Saccharomyces cerevisiae S288C: one gene and its partner. Each later gene encodes a partner of the first gene's protein in a complex. Each region holds a gene or a part of one and is shown on either strand. Other genes may lie near its edges. The genes, in order: TAF6 and TAF9. A codon is read from its position in the direction of its gene.

Region 1 (7,698 bases):
TAATTCGATGTCTTAGATTTCCCTGTATATATATTTCTAGGTGACAAAAATCCTAGGCAAAATGTTATATTATACGCGACCTTGAAATATCGGCTATCTTGGTGTACAACATGGTCCATTTAAGAAAAATAAAAAAAAGTGATGGGCACTGTTAAAACAGGCAGAAGCCTCATTCATAACTGCTGAAGGGTTAAGATCGTATAGGTAGGAACGATCTGACCTCTCATAATGGAAACATGGGAAGTCATAGCATCGGTAAAAGAAGCAACAAAAGGCCTTGACTTGAGCTTAGATCATCCACTTATTATTAAATCCGAGGACGTGCCCAGTAACATTCTCCAATTACTGCAACAGAAGAATCGACGTCAATTGAAACACATCTGCATGAAATCAAGAAAAGAGTATTTTCTACTAGAGGAATATGGGCCAGGATTTTGGGTTAAGTGGCCGTACAATTATTTCAATGGTTACAGCTTACCAGAAAGGCGTACGGAAGTTGTAACGACAGTTGAAAGAGAAAGAGCTAAGCGTGAAACGTTAAAAACATGGGACGAATTGAAATTTAAAGAGCTTCTTCATTTATGGTCAGAAGAACCCAAGGGCTCGTGTAAGCTTGAGAAGGACAAAGACCTTAAACTGGATATGAATCCCCCAGATATGAAAGGCGAATCAAAAATTAATGACTACTATTCAGACCCTAAAGAGTACATAGAAAGTAAGTATTATGATGCTCTTTTTTCCATACATACGCCTCTCGCATATTTCGTCAAGTCAAATTTAGTAAGGCTCAAAAATACCTGCCGAACCAAGTACGGAAGTGACAGTTACAAAATAGCCTATCAAGCCATGCTGCAAAAATTTCTTCTCTCAATTGTACAATTCAAAGATAGACATGATAACAGGCTTTTATTAGAGCCCTTTTCTAGTCCCATAGCAGATGAAAAAAGGAAGAACTGTCTCACAAAATTTGTTATCCAAGATGAAAACAAAAACAGCTCAACCATTGCTGATTTATGTGTTGTATTAAAATCCCGCGAAATAAAGCTACAAATATTATTGCTATTAGAGATAATAGGATTGAACGATTTAGATTGGAATTTTAGAGATTTTGAGAAAAAGTATAAATTAAAATTGAAGAAAAGATCACTTAATTTGACAAAAAAGGGATTAGTTCGTCGAAGATCGAAGAAAAAAACCAGCGAAAAAGACAAAGGAATCGAGAGAATAACAACATCTTTGGATTATTGTGAACAGTTAGACTTGTACTTAGATAGAGCATGCATCTTGGACATTCTACTATCAAGTGAAACGCCCAACCCAGATGCCATAGAAGCATCAAATGGAACAATACAAGAGCATAAAAAAAATATCCTAGACAAAAGCAAAGAAGCCTCATTGGTTGGGTTCATAAATTATGTTCTTATTCCATATTTCAACAAAAAGGTACCACACGCCGTTGAATTTATAATTCAAAAGCTCAAGGGACCAAGCATGAGACCAAAGAGAGCCCTGAAAAAGGTCAACGATAGCACAAATGTATCGTCACCTAATACTGTAGAAACGTATAACAGGTTATCCACGAGTCAACGTGCCTCTCGCTCTTCAATCATTAATTCCGTCCCATCTTCACCCGCATTGAGAAGGGTGGACGCTAATTTGTTCAGCAGAAAATCTATAGCTTCGCCCACCCCTGAACTTTTGAATTCTAGAACGAACTCTAACTTGAATGAATTTCTCGAAAGTGAAACTAGAAGCTTAAAGCGCCCTTCACAATTGGGAAGGACGAAGTCTGATCTAACGATGAATCATTTACAAAAACGGCAGTTTTCTGTCTCTGACTTAAGCACAACAAGAGTACCGAATTCATCAACTATCACACTCAAAACGCCTTTCTCGCACTCAACTATTAATGCATACAAAACTATGAATAACTCTTTTCGCAGAGTTGGGAAACGTAAAGATATCAATGAAACGATACGCCTACATGAACGTGTAGACTCTGAGGAAAACGTACAAGTTCAAGCCACTCCTGCTGTGAAAAAAAGAACTGTGACACCTAATAAAAAGGCGCAACTTCAAAGCATCATTGAATCGCCGCTAAATTTCAAGGATGATGATACGCATGAAGGCAGAAAAAATACCTCCAATATTACCTCTACTCCCACTAATAAGCCCCCGGAAAATAGCTCAAAAAGGAGAGTAAGAAGACGTTTATTTGCTCCAGAATCCACATAGAATAAGAAACTGCGAGACCACCTTCGCTGGCAAGTAGTTGACCCAACTCCATCTTTGTAGCTTTTCTTGGACGAAAAGGGAATAAAATAAAACTAAGCTACAACAATTTCGCACTTCGGGGGCCTTTGAGTATACAATTAAATAACTCATCATGCATATATATATATATACATACAATGGCGTATGTAAAAACTGTTATATAACATTACCGTTGTACTATTAGTATAAACCGATTCTCACTATTCGCCAAAAAATATCGCACTAATTAATTCTTTTGCGTCGTCTCTTTTCAAAATGTGAAATCCAATAGTGACACCACACCTCTCTAGCAATTTTTCCTTATCCTCATCCGTAACTTTTTCACCTTTACCCTCGTACAAATCTGGTAAATCCTTTTTTAGAACTAACAATGCACTAATTACAGTATCAACCAAGATTTGAGTTTCTTCTTTAGTAAATTTGGTCCTAGTTGGATTGGAGTCATCGTTCAAATGTTCCTCTATATTGTCTAGAGTTATTCCGCTTTCATTGAATACCAAGCGCGCCCAATTATTTAGGTTTCCTAAGAAGAATCTGATGGATTCACCTTCTAGTACCGATACACCCTTTAAGCACCCATAGTAAGTCCCAAAAACACGGTTTATGTCCAAAAATGTCTTTAGCAGTGTCCTAGTTACTCTTGGCTTCAGGGATTTGTATGCTTGAGGAAATTTTTTCAATACATAGTCCAACAAAGATGCGGCAAAATCACGTAGTGCATTCGTTCTTTCTAAAAATTCATGAATTTCTTGCGGCGAATCATCTTTTGGTGATCCACCAAGTTTTTTTGCTAATAGCAAGGTTAAAATGGAAGGCATTAACGAATGAATATAAGGGTCCAGGAAAATAGAAGTATTGCTTAGTAAAGAGTAAATCATTTCCAAAATTGTTGTTAGCAATTGTAAATCGGAAAGATTTTGTGTGATTTGTTCGGCAATAAATTGAATAAAATATGGAACCAGTTGGTGCAGGCCACTATCAGTTCGTAGTGAAGTCAAAGCTGCTTGTTTCATATGCTGTGCAGCTTCATCAGCTTGACTCTTCGCTGTCAAGGTTGAAATGACCTTATTGAAATAAATCTGTAATTCTTTGGATAAAACGTGTTTCACTAAAGGTTTGACTTCAGTATTCTGTCCTGGTTTAACATTAGACAGGTGTTGAGAGGCGCCTGTATCCGTCACAGAAGCACTTGCTGTCGTCGACGTTACAGGTGTTTGGAGGCTGTTATCATTCAAAGCAGTGACAATAGCACCTCTAATAAATGGTGGTTGGGATACCCTTATATCATTCAAATTTGGATTTTGGATTATGGCAGGTTGAACCCCTTCAACTGCTAGCCAATGTGTAGTAAAAGTTGGTAGACGAGGCACTTGCGGTAATGGCTCATTTATTAATCTATCAAAATCTACTTCTTCCTCATCCAGGTAGTAAACCGACTGTCCTCCACTTGTGTTAACCTTACTAAATGATACAGCTTTATTAACTTCAGAGCCATCATAATATCCATATAAAGGTTCCACATTCAGAACACGCAGGGCCTTCGATACATCGTCTGTAGTTAAAACATCTCTTTTAGAGTGTCTTTTAAACTTGACTGCCTGTTCAATAATCTCTAGAATACGGTATTCAACGTCCATAGCAAGTGCTTTCAACACGTCATCGTTGATATTTTCCAACCCAAGCGACTCAGCGACATCTTTAACAGTATCTTGTGGAGACCAAATTGTGTAAGATTGCTGCTGTGTAGACATTTTAACAGGCTATCAACTACACTGAGGCGTCCTTTGCTTCCTTTTTAAAGCCAATCTATTGTTTTCGCTCATGAACTACTTTTGCTGCTACTTGAATCGGTGTTTGTTATTGATGGTTTCCGGGTATTTTTTTGGTAATAAAATAAAGCTGAAAAATTTTGTAAAGCGATGCCCAATCTCGAAGCCTCACTTCAATGAACATAATACAGAGAAAATTTAACCATAAATAGGCCCAGCTTCGATCGTAAAATGAGGTTACTAGTCAGCTGTGTGGATAGTGGATCCATAAAGGAAGTTTTGTGTAACATCGGGACTGACACTTCCGTACAATCAGCACTGCAGCCTTTTCATGTGGCACCTCATCTAGCCGAAGGATTGAAAGCTTACGTTGACAGGATGTGGGTGATATCCGAAGATGAAGCCATCTTAGCAAGGAATTCAGGGGTCGTCGAACTTGTAAAGATTTCGAAACACCTTAAAGAAAATGAAGCTCTCCAGGTCGATCCCAAAGGAGAAAGCAAAAATGAAAAGAGCCTTTCCGATGATCTACCCAAATTTGACATATCCGAGTTTGAGATAACCAGCTCAGTTTCAGACCTTTTTGATGATGCCAAATTGGAATCACTTTCAAGTAAATCTGTTAAAAGAACCAAGTTGGTGGATGGTTTTGTCACATTATGTCCCATAAAAAAGGATTCGTCGAATAACACATTCGTAGCTGCTACCAAATCGGGATTATTACATATTATAAAAAAAGGAGAAGATAAAAAGTTAATAAAACTAGCATCCCTTGGACTGAAAGCACCAGTAGAATTTCTTCAGTTATATGATCTAGAAGATACCGATACTGATAAATATATATTTGCATACGGAGGGGAGGAGAATTTAATAAAATTAGTGGAAATAGATTCGAGTTTCCAATCTTTAAAGCAAATTTGGGAAGCCAAGAATGTTAAAAACGACAGGTTGGATATGAGAGTCCCAGTATGGCCCATGGCCCTAAGATTTTTGGAGCCCTCCCCTGGTAAAACTGAAAAGGGTAAGCTGAACTACCAGTTTGCAGCCATAACCCGTTGGTCCCACCTCACCAAATACAGCACACAACATGGCAGAAAACCGTTCGCTCAGATAGATTTATTACCTAACCGTGAACCATTATCTCAGATGGAAGTTTTTGATGCCAAGGGAGAAAATGTTGTCTCTTCGTTGGGGAATTTTCAATCTGAAACCTTTAATGAACTGAATGTGATTACTACTGACTACAAAAAGAATGTTTTTAAATTCGATGGTAATGGAAGAATGTTGGGCAAGGTGGGTAGAGATGATATCACTGGTTCGTCAACCTATATTCATGTACATGACGGCAAATATCTTTTACAAGGTGGTTTAGATAGGTATGTTCGGATCTTCGATATAAAAACTAACAAAATGCTGGTGAAGGTTTATGTTGGGTCCCGTATAAATTTTATTGTTATGCTGGATGACGTTGAAATCGAGATGCCACTAAGTCCAAGTGCGAAAGCTGCCAAAGGGAAGCAAAAAAGGAAGGTTACAGAACTTGAAGAAGACGCAGATGAGCTTTGGAATAAATTGGAGGGAAAGGTAGCTGCTTCTAAAGCCAGTAAGAAAAGCAAAATTTAATAGTAAAGGACGCTAATTGAAGGCAAAGTTTTACTAGTCGGCGGGAAAAATTATTAAAAAAAGCACTTCCTGAACGCGACGCTGAATAACTTATAATACGTTACATAATTGTATACCGTCTAGTAAACTTACATACGCTTGTCTATCTTGTATGCTGATGCATTTTATCAAATAGCGTTATTTCCCGCACGAGCCAATTTTTTATCGTGCCCCTTCTTACGGTTATGGTTAGCTCTAGCCCCTTTCCTTTTTTCATTCTTAGCATGCTGTCTTTTCTTCTGTTCAGTAGATTGAGGTTCATGTTTCTTAATATTTTCAGATTTTTTTTGTTTGGCTTGTTCTTTGACGACATTTCCATCATTTTGGCTATCACGATTATGAACATAAGACGTTTTCCCTGTTTTGCTATTTCCTTTGAACATAAACTTCTTTTCTAAAAGTCTTGCTCGGGTAGGAGATCTTTCTAACATCCGACACCAACCTTCGATTTTTTCATCCGACCATGAAGTCATTTCTTTCATAGTTTTCCTGACTTTTGTACCTCTTTTTGATCTCTCAAATAATTTCGGATCCTCTTTCAATAGATTCCACAAGTAAGCTTCAACAATATGATAGTTATGATCTTGTCGCACTTCATTAGAATCATCTTTTGTATCATAGCTTTCTTCGTCTTCTTGAAGTCCAATTCTTTTCGAAGGATCGGACCGGTTCACATCGGCTTCATCATAAGTGTCATCCCTTTCATCTTCATCAGCCTCGTATAAAAGTTTCAATGCTCTTGTCAAAGTTTTATTTCTTAATTCATCCGGAACACCCTCCGAGATAATCTTTTTGTCTAGCTCTTTATTTTTTGAGCTATCTCCTCTATCCAATATACTCAGTTCTTCAGTAAAGGATGCATTATCACCATCTGACACCGGCTCTACTTCTTCCTCCGCAGGTTCTCTGGAGAATGCTTCGATAATGGTAGGATCCTCAAATATTTTATTCGTTACTAATTCAATGTTATTATCATAGGCAAGCAACGTTTGAGATAATTGATATTTAGAAAACTGGGGGAACAATTCCATCAACGCGGACAGTTGTTCTTCATTAACTTCAGTACCTGATGATGTTGGATAGCTCATATGGTCTCCTTCGTCCATTGACAACCCCCCTAAATTCAGAAATAGTAACTTGCTCTTCAAATCAGGAAGCCTTTTGTGGACTCCTTCATTTATGAGCATTGTTCCTAAAAGAGGATATAACGCCAAAGTTTCAAAATTGCTTATGCCTAATTCTTTAGTTATTTTTAGTAAACGATCAGCAGAAACAGAAAATAAACTGATAATGATCAATTCTCTAGCCTCTTTATGACCCCGGCCCTGTCCCTTTGCCCATAATGCCTCTAAAATTTCAATCCAATTTGCCGTAAAGAAGTTCTCCGCAAACTTATTTGGCTGCATGGATTTGGCAGACAGCAGATCTTCAACGCACCTTAAATCTATTCTTTTAAATTTTCCAGATTCTATTAACTGCTTCAAATGCTGTTGAACTTGGTACGATTTGTCCAATTGTACACGTTGCGTGTTGATCCGTGGTTTCAATGAGCCATCGATCAAACCACGAATAGAATCTGGATTACGTCTAACATATACTTTGATCAAATTCCACAGGGAGTCACCAAAAATCTGAAGATGTAATAACCCGCATTTCTTGATCAATGAAAATATCCAGCCTTTTAGTAAATATAACTGTTCAGACACATCATGGTTGATACCGAGACTTAATAACTTTCCTTCCTCATCAGCAATTTCATGCAAGTAAGTTCTCAAAAATAAACGAAGATGATCAAGTGTAGATTCATCTAATAATTCAACGTTAGCACCTTGCATCAAATACTCAAAATACGTTACATAGGTTTCTATTAGATGCAGCCATACTACGGGGTCCTTTTCAATTAATTGAGCTCTGAGTTTAAACGGTGGAAATTTGACAATGGGCAGAGAAATATCTGCATTACCCCCATTTATTTCAATAACGCGGTTGTACC
Region 2 (6,497 bases), on another chromosome or scaffold:
CTTTAAAAAATGACAGAAACGTAAAGCATATCGATAAGATCATCTTCGCACTAATATTGACGATCATATCTGCGTTCTGGATATGATTTCGTTCTAATTTGTTCGTCCTATATAACAACCAAAAATTAATAAAGGTGATTCAAAATGAGATAAAGGACAATGTACACAGTCAATTACTTAATTAGATATTTGAGTAAAGCTGATCTTTTGGAGAAATGGGCTTTTCATTAATTTACATTCTATTTTTGGGTTATACTCAGTTTCGCTTTACGCGGATTACATTGTTTTTTTTTCGGGCGTGGCTCAGATTGTGAAAAAGAAATTAAACAATTTAAGATTACGGTTATCGCATTAGAGGCAGAATAACTTGAAAATGGGAAATTCCCCAAGAAGGTGACCTATACATGACAATGCCAGGATATCATACATAAAATACATAACCCGTTTCTTGTTAATTGATTTCTTTCACCTTTTTATTGATTGTATTCATCTTTTTCTAATTATCGAAAGTGTCATTCGTGAAATTCTTCAGAAAATTTAGAATGTTATCGTCAATCAATTGGGCTACTGGGTCAGAAAATCTAGAGGCAATTTCATTATGTACTTTAGTAATGCCCATATCTTGTACTGCAACACTCAGAGCATCTATTAATATTATTGAGAACTCGATGTACCAACGATGATTCCAGCAACAAATCTTGACTACTAGATCGATGATTGAGCTGTCGATGTCATTGATACTTGACAATATTTGAGAAGAGGTTAACTCGGAGTTTGCTGAGACTGAATCCCTCCTAATACGCTTATGCTCGTCAATGTAAAACTGTAATAGATTCTTTGCGCATACTGGAGAAAATCTTTGGGAAAGCCCAATTTGGAAAGCCTTCGCAGCTTCTGGAAGATGTCCCAGTCTTTTCGCACAAAGGCCGAATAATTCCCATTCAACAGTTAATTTGTGATATTTACTGTTTTGAGCATCAAAATACAATTGCTCTGATTGCCAATCGGTGTAAGTTTTCAAATCTTCGTATAGTAACATGAAGAGATTATCCAACCATCTTTCGCATAGCCTCTTTGATCTCATTTTGGATATATCATTACCGCGAACTTCTGCTTCATCAATGGAAGAAGTGGAGCCTTGGTACTCGTCTTCCATAACGAAAATTTTTGATCTATATTTCAACAGCTGCTCCCATCCTGTTATTTGGACAATTTCTGTCAATAATTTATAGGCTAGTTGGAAAGTAGACTTTAAACTTGACGCAGAGAGATTGACTAGGTTTGGATCTGCGGACTTTTGCTCCAACTGGACATCCATGGGGTTCAATGACGAAATCTCCTCAATTGAGGCATCCAATGGTAATGGCAGATGAAGATTTTCATCTGAAGTAATAGGCGCAATTCTTCTAAGAACGTATTTTTCCTTAACCTGTGACATGGGGCAGGCGTTTAACGATAGCAAGGCATTTGACATATCGTTTAGTTTAATGTATATTCTAGTCAATAAATACCAAGTTTTAAATTCGTTTGGTGCACAGTTAACAGCCTCCATGGCTACTTCCTTAGCAAGCTTGTAATCTCTCTTGACATCCAGTAAGAATTCACTTTGAATACTTAATAATTCGGATTTGAAGATTAGCTGGATATGGCTAGTCTTTGAATCGTCGGCTAAGAACGAAGAGGGGGAATTTAGTTGCTCGTTGATCAGGTCAACTGCATCTATCTCTAAATCGCACGCAAAATAAACACGAATTAATATTATTACTGCTTCTGGATGAATTTCTATTAACTTCTTGAGCATTTTACGACATGCTTCCAAACTCTTAGTTAACCTAACTATTTCCACTAAAGTTTCCACTAAATAATTATTGGTTAACGAGGGATTTAAAACGTGAGTAGGTGCATCTAAATAAACACCTTTTTCATAGACCAAGGGGAACAGTTTAATAAAGTTATTGGCAACATCTTCCAACTCACCCGAGGTAAATGGATTGAAAATTAGTGTTTCTACCAAATTCTGGGATTCTCCATCCGCACGATTATCTTTCATAATCATAATGTCACGTACAATACCACTCATAAACGTTTCCGCCCAAATCATGTTGACGTTTAAATCCTGTGAGTTGCGGCCAGATGACGCTTCTGCCACGGAGGGAAGTTGCGATTGTTCACCGTCGCTATTTATAATGTAGGTTTGCACAGTTCCTGGAATGTGAACTATAATGTTAACATCATATTTCCTAAACGCATTCCAAGAACTGATAGAAATCTTCGATACGTGAAAGTGCTTCTTCTTACCAAACCAAATTTGGGGCGTGTCTAAGAAAAGATCGGTTATCTTTTTGGCAAAGATTGTAATAGAAGTTGGATCCGAAGTATCGATACCCATACAGTAAAAGAAAGTGCCGATCTGCCCCTTTAATTTGTCATGGGAATGTAACTCCGTAACTATGGTCGTAGGATCTTGTCCATTGATGTTTGAAGTTGCTCCGTTATCGTTGGCGGAGGCAGTAGCAGTTGTTGTGCTCGAGGATGAAGGTAACGATTTGATCAAAGTAATTAAATCAGGCGGACCCAAGTCTTGGAATTGTCCCACTCTGGCTCTCCTCTGGTGTAGCGCATAGCCTATCACGTCTTCTTTCACTTCCGGTATGGAGGTTTGAGACAACATGGTTAGGACTTCAAGTTTTCAGTTTATCCTTTTCACGTTCTAAAAATCAATACAGCGCGGAAAGTGCTCTCAAGAAGATGAATTGAGATGTTTAAGGGTCCATTTGTTACTACATTATCGTGTAGATCTCATTTCTCTAACTTTCCATGTAGGAAAGGGCAGGCAGGAAAAAGAACATTAGAGAACATGATCACGATACACGACTAGCGCATTATTTAGTGTATATTACTCTATTATGCATTCTACATGACGCATCTTCCGGAAGAACTTGATTTAGTGTACTTATGATATATAAGCGGTGCATTCACATAGACTTTGGGTCCTCAAGGTCCCACTCCTTCGCTGTGAGACAATATTTTTCTGGGGGAAGCCTGACACCCCACGTACCCATCACTTGAGGTAATGCCTTCTTGTTTCTTTCCGCAGCTAACTGTAACATGAGCTCCTTAGGTGCCGTAGGCTTAAATTGGTATTGTGTTCTCGCTGCAATGGCAAGCCGTATGTCTTCTACTCCTAATCCACTGCCGGCAGAATTTCCACTGCCAGCGTAGTCGTTGTAAACCAACGCGTCCTTAAGGACTCCTTGTGTGTACCTATGTGCAAAATCCATCAATTGTAGCGGTACTTGGTCCTCATATTGATGAATCGACTGTGATGCGAGGAGCAGATGCAAAAGACGGACATCTCGTGGCGTTTCCTCTTGTGTTGAGTCCGGACCAACTTCTGATACTGAGCCCACTGAGTTTTTATTCAAAACATTCTTGCCTCCGCCGTTCATAATGGTCTGTGAAGTCCTCTAGTCTTTTCTTGTTGTCGTGTTGTTTCATAATGTCAAATTCTACTTTTGATTTAAAGCTCTTAGTTTGGTCATGGAATGCATGTCACTATGCACGTTGTGGGACAATTAATGGAAAAAAATTTATTAGGAAGATATTGATCAAAGGCATAATATCACGGTAAAAGGTGAATATAGGCCATTTTAACAGGCTGTCTTTCGAAACAGATTTTTAGCTATGGCTACCTTGCACTTCGTTCCTCAGCACGAGGAAGAACAAGTTTACTCCATCTCTGGGAAGGCACTCAAGTTAACAACCAGTGACGATATCAAACCATACCTGGAAGAATTGGCAGCTTTGAAAACCTGTACCAAATTAGACCTTTCAGGGAATACAATCGGTACTGAAGCTTCGGAAGCATTAGCTAAATGCATCGCTGAAAATACACAGGTCAGGGAATCTTTGGTTGAAGTAAATTTTGCTGACTTATACACTTCGAGGTTGGTTGACGAAGTCGTTGATTCGTTGAAGTTTTTATTGCCTGTTCTGTTGAAATGTCCTCACTTGGAGATTGTGAACCTTTCTGATAATGCGTTTGGGCTAAGAACAATCGAGTTACTAGAAGATTACATTGCACATGCCGTGAATATCAAACATTTGATCTTAAGTAACAATGGTATGGGCCCTTTTGCTGGTGAAAGGATTGGTAAGGCCCTATTTCATCTCGCTCAAAATAAGAAAGCTGCTTCCAAACCATTTTTGGAAACTTTTATCTGTGGTAGAAATAGATTAGAGAATGGATCCGCAGTCTACTTAGCTCTGGGTTTGAAAAGCCACTCCGAAGGTTTGAAAGTCGTAAAGCTGTACCAAAATGGTATTAGGCCTAAAGGTGTCGCCACGCTAATTCATTACGGTTTACAGTACTTGAAAAACTTGGAAATCTTGGATCTTCAAGACAATACTTTCACGAAACATGCTTCTTTGATCCTTGCTAAGGCCTTGCCTACATGGAAGGATAGTTTATTTGAATTGAATTTGAACGACTGTCTTTTGAAAACTGCTGGTTCAGATGAAGTCTTTAAAGTATTCACCGAAGTTAAATTCCCCAATTTGCATGTCTTGAAATTCGAATATAATGAAATGGCTCAAGAAACCATTGAAGTATCCTTCTTACCGGCTATGGAAAAGGGAAATTTACCTGAATTGGAAAAGCTAGAAATAAATGGTAACAGATTAGATGAAGATTCTGATGCTTTAGATTTGCTCCAAAGCAAATTTGATGATTTAGAGGTTGACGATTTTGAAGAGGTCGATAGTGAAGATGAGGAAGGCGAGGACGAGGAAGACGAGGACGAGGATGAAAAACTCGAAGAAATTGAAACGGAAAGGCTTGAAAAGGAACTGCTAGAAGTACAAGTAGATGATCTTGCTGAACGTTTAGCTGAAACTGAAATCAAATAGCTATGAATAAAAGTAAAAATAAACACAATCAACTGTGGACGAGGTTCAGGCAAATATCATGGTGACACGCTTATAGATAGTTATCGGGTAAGTTAAAAAACCAAATAGCTGATGTATGTATATGTATGCAAAAGATATAAAATATATATTTCTATTACAGGTACAACAGGTCCAGTAAGAAGCCAAGCAAAAAACAGCATTATCGTCTAGATGCTCCTTTCTTCGCCAGAAAATCTGCCATTTCATTTCCTGGATCACCATCGTGTCCTTTTACCCATTCAATCTGAAATTTACCATTATTTTTGAAGCACTCTTTATTCAACTCATAGTACTTTTTAACTTTAACGAACCTCTGCACCAAAGGAACAATTAAATCAGAATTAGGTAGCCCTTCAAGTTTTTTATTATCATACGTCATATACCTGTCATTTAATAATTTGGTTACGTACTCTGAATCAGTTTTGATTTGATAATTTACTTTTTCCTTTTCATTAGTTAACTTTTCCCAGATTTTCTTCAAAGCTTCTGATACTGCTTCGATTTCAGCTCTATTATTAGTTTGAGCTCCCGATAATAAGGGTTCTGAAATATTTTCCTCTGGCGCTCCTTCAAAATATGCACCATAACCTGCCCTTGAAGATGACGTGCCGTTTCCAAAACTTGAACCATCACAGTAAACGTTCATAGACTTGTTGTACATGGTATTGCTAGAAAGCTTATACTTAGATTCAAAACTTTCTTTGGATATATTCATGAGCTTGTAATCATGCGCACTCATACCACTAATGAAGTTTTCCGCAGCTAATTGGTCTTCAAACTTCTTGAAGGTTATACCCCTTTTATGCTTGACATAGGCTTGACAGTCTTTCCAATTGTTAAAGATTTTACTCTCGATATTTGGAACATTACTCTTTACTGAATAAAAGGTATTTGTATTAGCAGAGCTTAAAGATGAACATGCTGATGACGATGTCAAGGAGGAATAATGAAGTGGCCGATTCCTTCGATGAACTCGCTTTTGAGTGGTATGAGGTTTACTAACTTGCCCTCCAGCATGCGTTGAACTTCCATAGTTTGATGTAGTATTTGGTTGACCTAGGAAAGATTTCGCTTGCTCGTAGCTGTTAAATTTTTTATAAATTGCACCACCATAACCATCAACTTGGTTTTTACATTCATTCCATGTATTATAGATCCCAGTTTCCCTGCCCTTTCTAACCGCGTAGAAGTTCCCTTGCCTTGCCATAATTAGGAATCGATAGTTCCTTCGATAAGCAAGGAGTGACACTTTAACTAATTTAAACAACGTGTATTATTGTGCTGCCATGAAATTAATATAGATCTTTACGACTATTGTACTTGCTTTTATTCATTGTTGATGCTGCTGTCATTTTTACATTTTTTTCTCCAGATAAAAAATAAAAAAAATATGCCATTAATTGATATCATCAGAATTTGACGAAATTCTCAAATCGAATTTGCCATAGTATTTCTTTAACGCCGTGAAGTGAAATTATTTATTACTAATGCTACATTAATTGTTAATTTACCTGTTTCAAGTACAATACAGTAGGTGCAGTGTGCTTTAT

The links.
Region 2: the proteins of TAF6 (region 1) and TAF9 are in contact, whole or in part, in a cryo-EM structure (PDB 6T9I), measured with the Saccharomyces cerevisiae proteins. Residues at the interface, in NP_011403.1 of Saccharomyces cerevisiae: Ile10 (codon at 3,998), Trp11 (codon at 3,995), Ser12 (codon at 3,992), Pro13 (codon at 3,989), Asp15 (codon at 3,983), Thr16 (codon at 3,980), Val17 (codon at 3,977), Val20 (codon at 3,968), Ala21 (codon at 3,965), Ser23 (codon at 3,959), Leu24 (codon at 3,956), Leu26 (codon at 3,950), Ile29 (codon at 3,941), Asn30 (codon at 3,938), Val33 (codon at 3,929), Ala36 (codon at 3,920), Leu37 (codon at 3,917), Asp40 (codon at 3,908), Val41 (codon at 3,905), Arg44 (codon at 3,896), Ile45 (codon at 3,893), Leu46 (codon at 3,890), Glu47 (codon at 3,887), Ile48 (codon at 3,884), Ile49 (codon at 3,881), Val53 (codon at 3,869), Asp62 (codon at 3,842), Val63 (codon at 3,839), Leu64 (codon at 3,836), Thr65 (codon at 3,833); in NP_013963.1 of Saccharomyces cerevisiae: Pro30 (codon at 3,362), Arg31 (codon at 3,359), Asp32 (codon at 3,356), Val33 (codon at 3,353), Leu35 (codon at 3,347), Leu36 (codon at 3,344), Leu39 (codon at 3,335), Leu40 (codon at 3,332), Gln43 (codon at 3,323), Ile45 (codon at 3,317), Gln47 (codon at 3,311), Tyr48 (codon at 3,308), Glu49 (codon at 3,305), Asp50 (codon at 3,302), Gln51 (codon at 3,299), Val52 (codon at 3,296), Leu54 (codon at 3,290), Gln55 (codon at 3,287), Leu56 (codon at 3,284), Met57 (codon at 3,281), Asp58 (codon at 3,278), Phe59 (codon at 3,275), Ala60 (codon at 3,272), His61 (codon at 3,269), Arg62 (codon at 3,266), Tyr63 (codon at 3,263), Thr64 (codon at 3,260), Gln65 (codon at 3,257), Val67 (codon at 3,251), Leu68 (codon at 3,248).

What each region holds. Positions count from the first base shown.
Region 1 is NC_001139.9:295,704-303,401, forward strand, and holds TAF6 (TATA-binding protein-associated factor TAF6), read right to left. Parts: upstream 4,026-7,698; coding exon 2,475-4,025; downstream 1-2,474. Other genes in the region: SLD3 (Sld3p), read left to right, coding at 229-2,235; ribosome biosynthesis protein NSA1, read left to right, coding at 4,275-5,666; CUE3 (Cue3p), read right to left, coding at 5,834-7,698.
Region 2 is NC_001145.3:739,923-746,419, reverse strand, and holds TAF9 (chromatin modification protein), read right to left. Parts: upstream 3,450-6,497; coding exon 2,976-3,449; downstream 1-2,975. Other genes in the region: DFG5 (putative mannan endo-1,6-alpha-mannosidase), read right to left, coding at 1-67; BCH1 (exomer complex subunit), read right to left, coding at 497-2,671; GTPase-activating protein RNA1, read left to right, coding at 3,685-4,908; RNH1 (RNA-DNA hybrid ribonuclease), read right to left, coding at 5,108-6,154. UniProt on the Saccharomyces cerevisiae protein: Functions as a component of both the DNA-binding general transcription initiation factor complex TFIID and the transcription coactivator SAGA complex.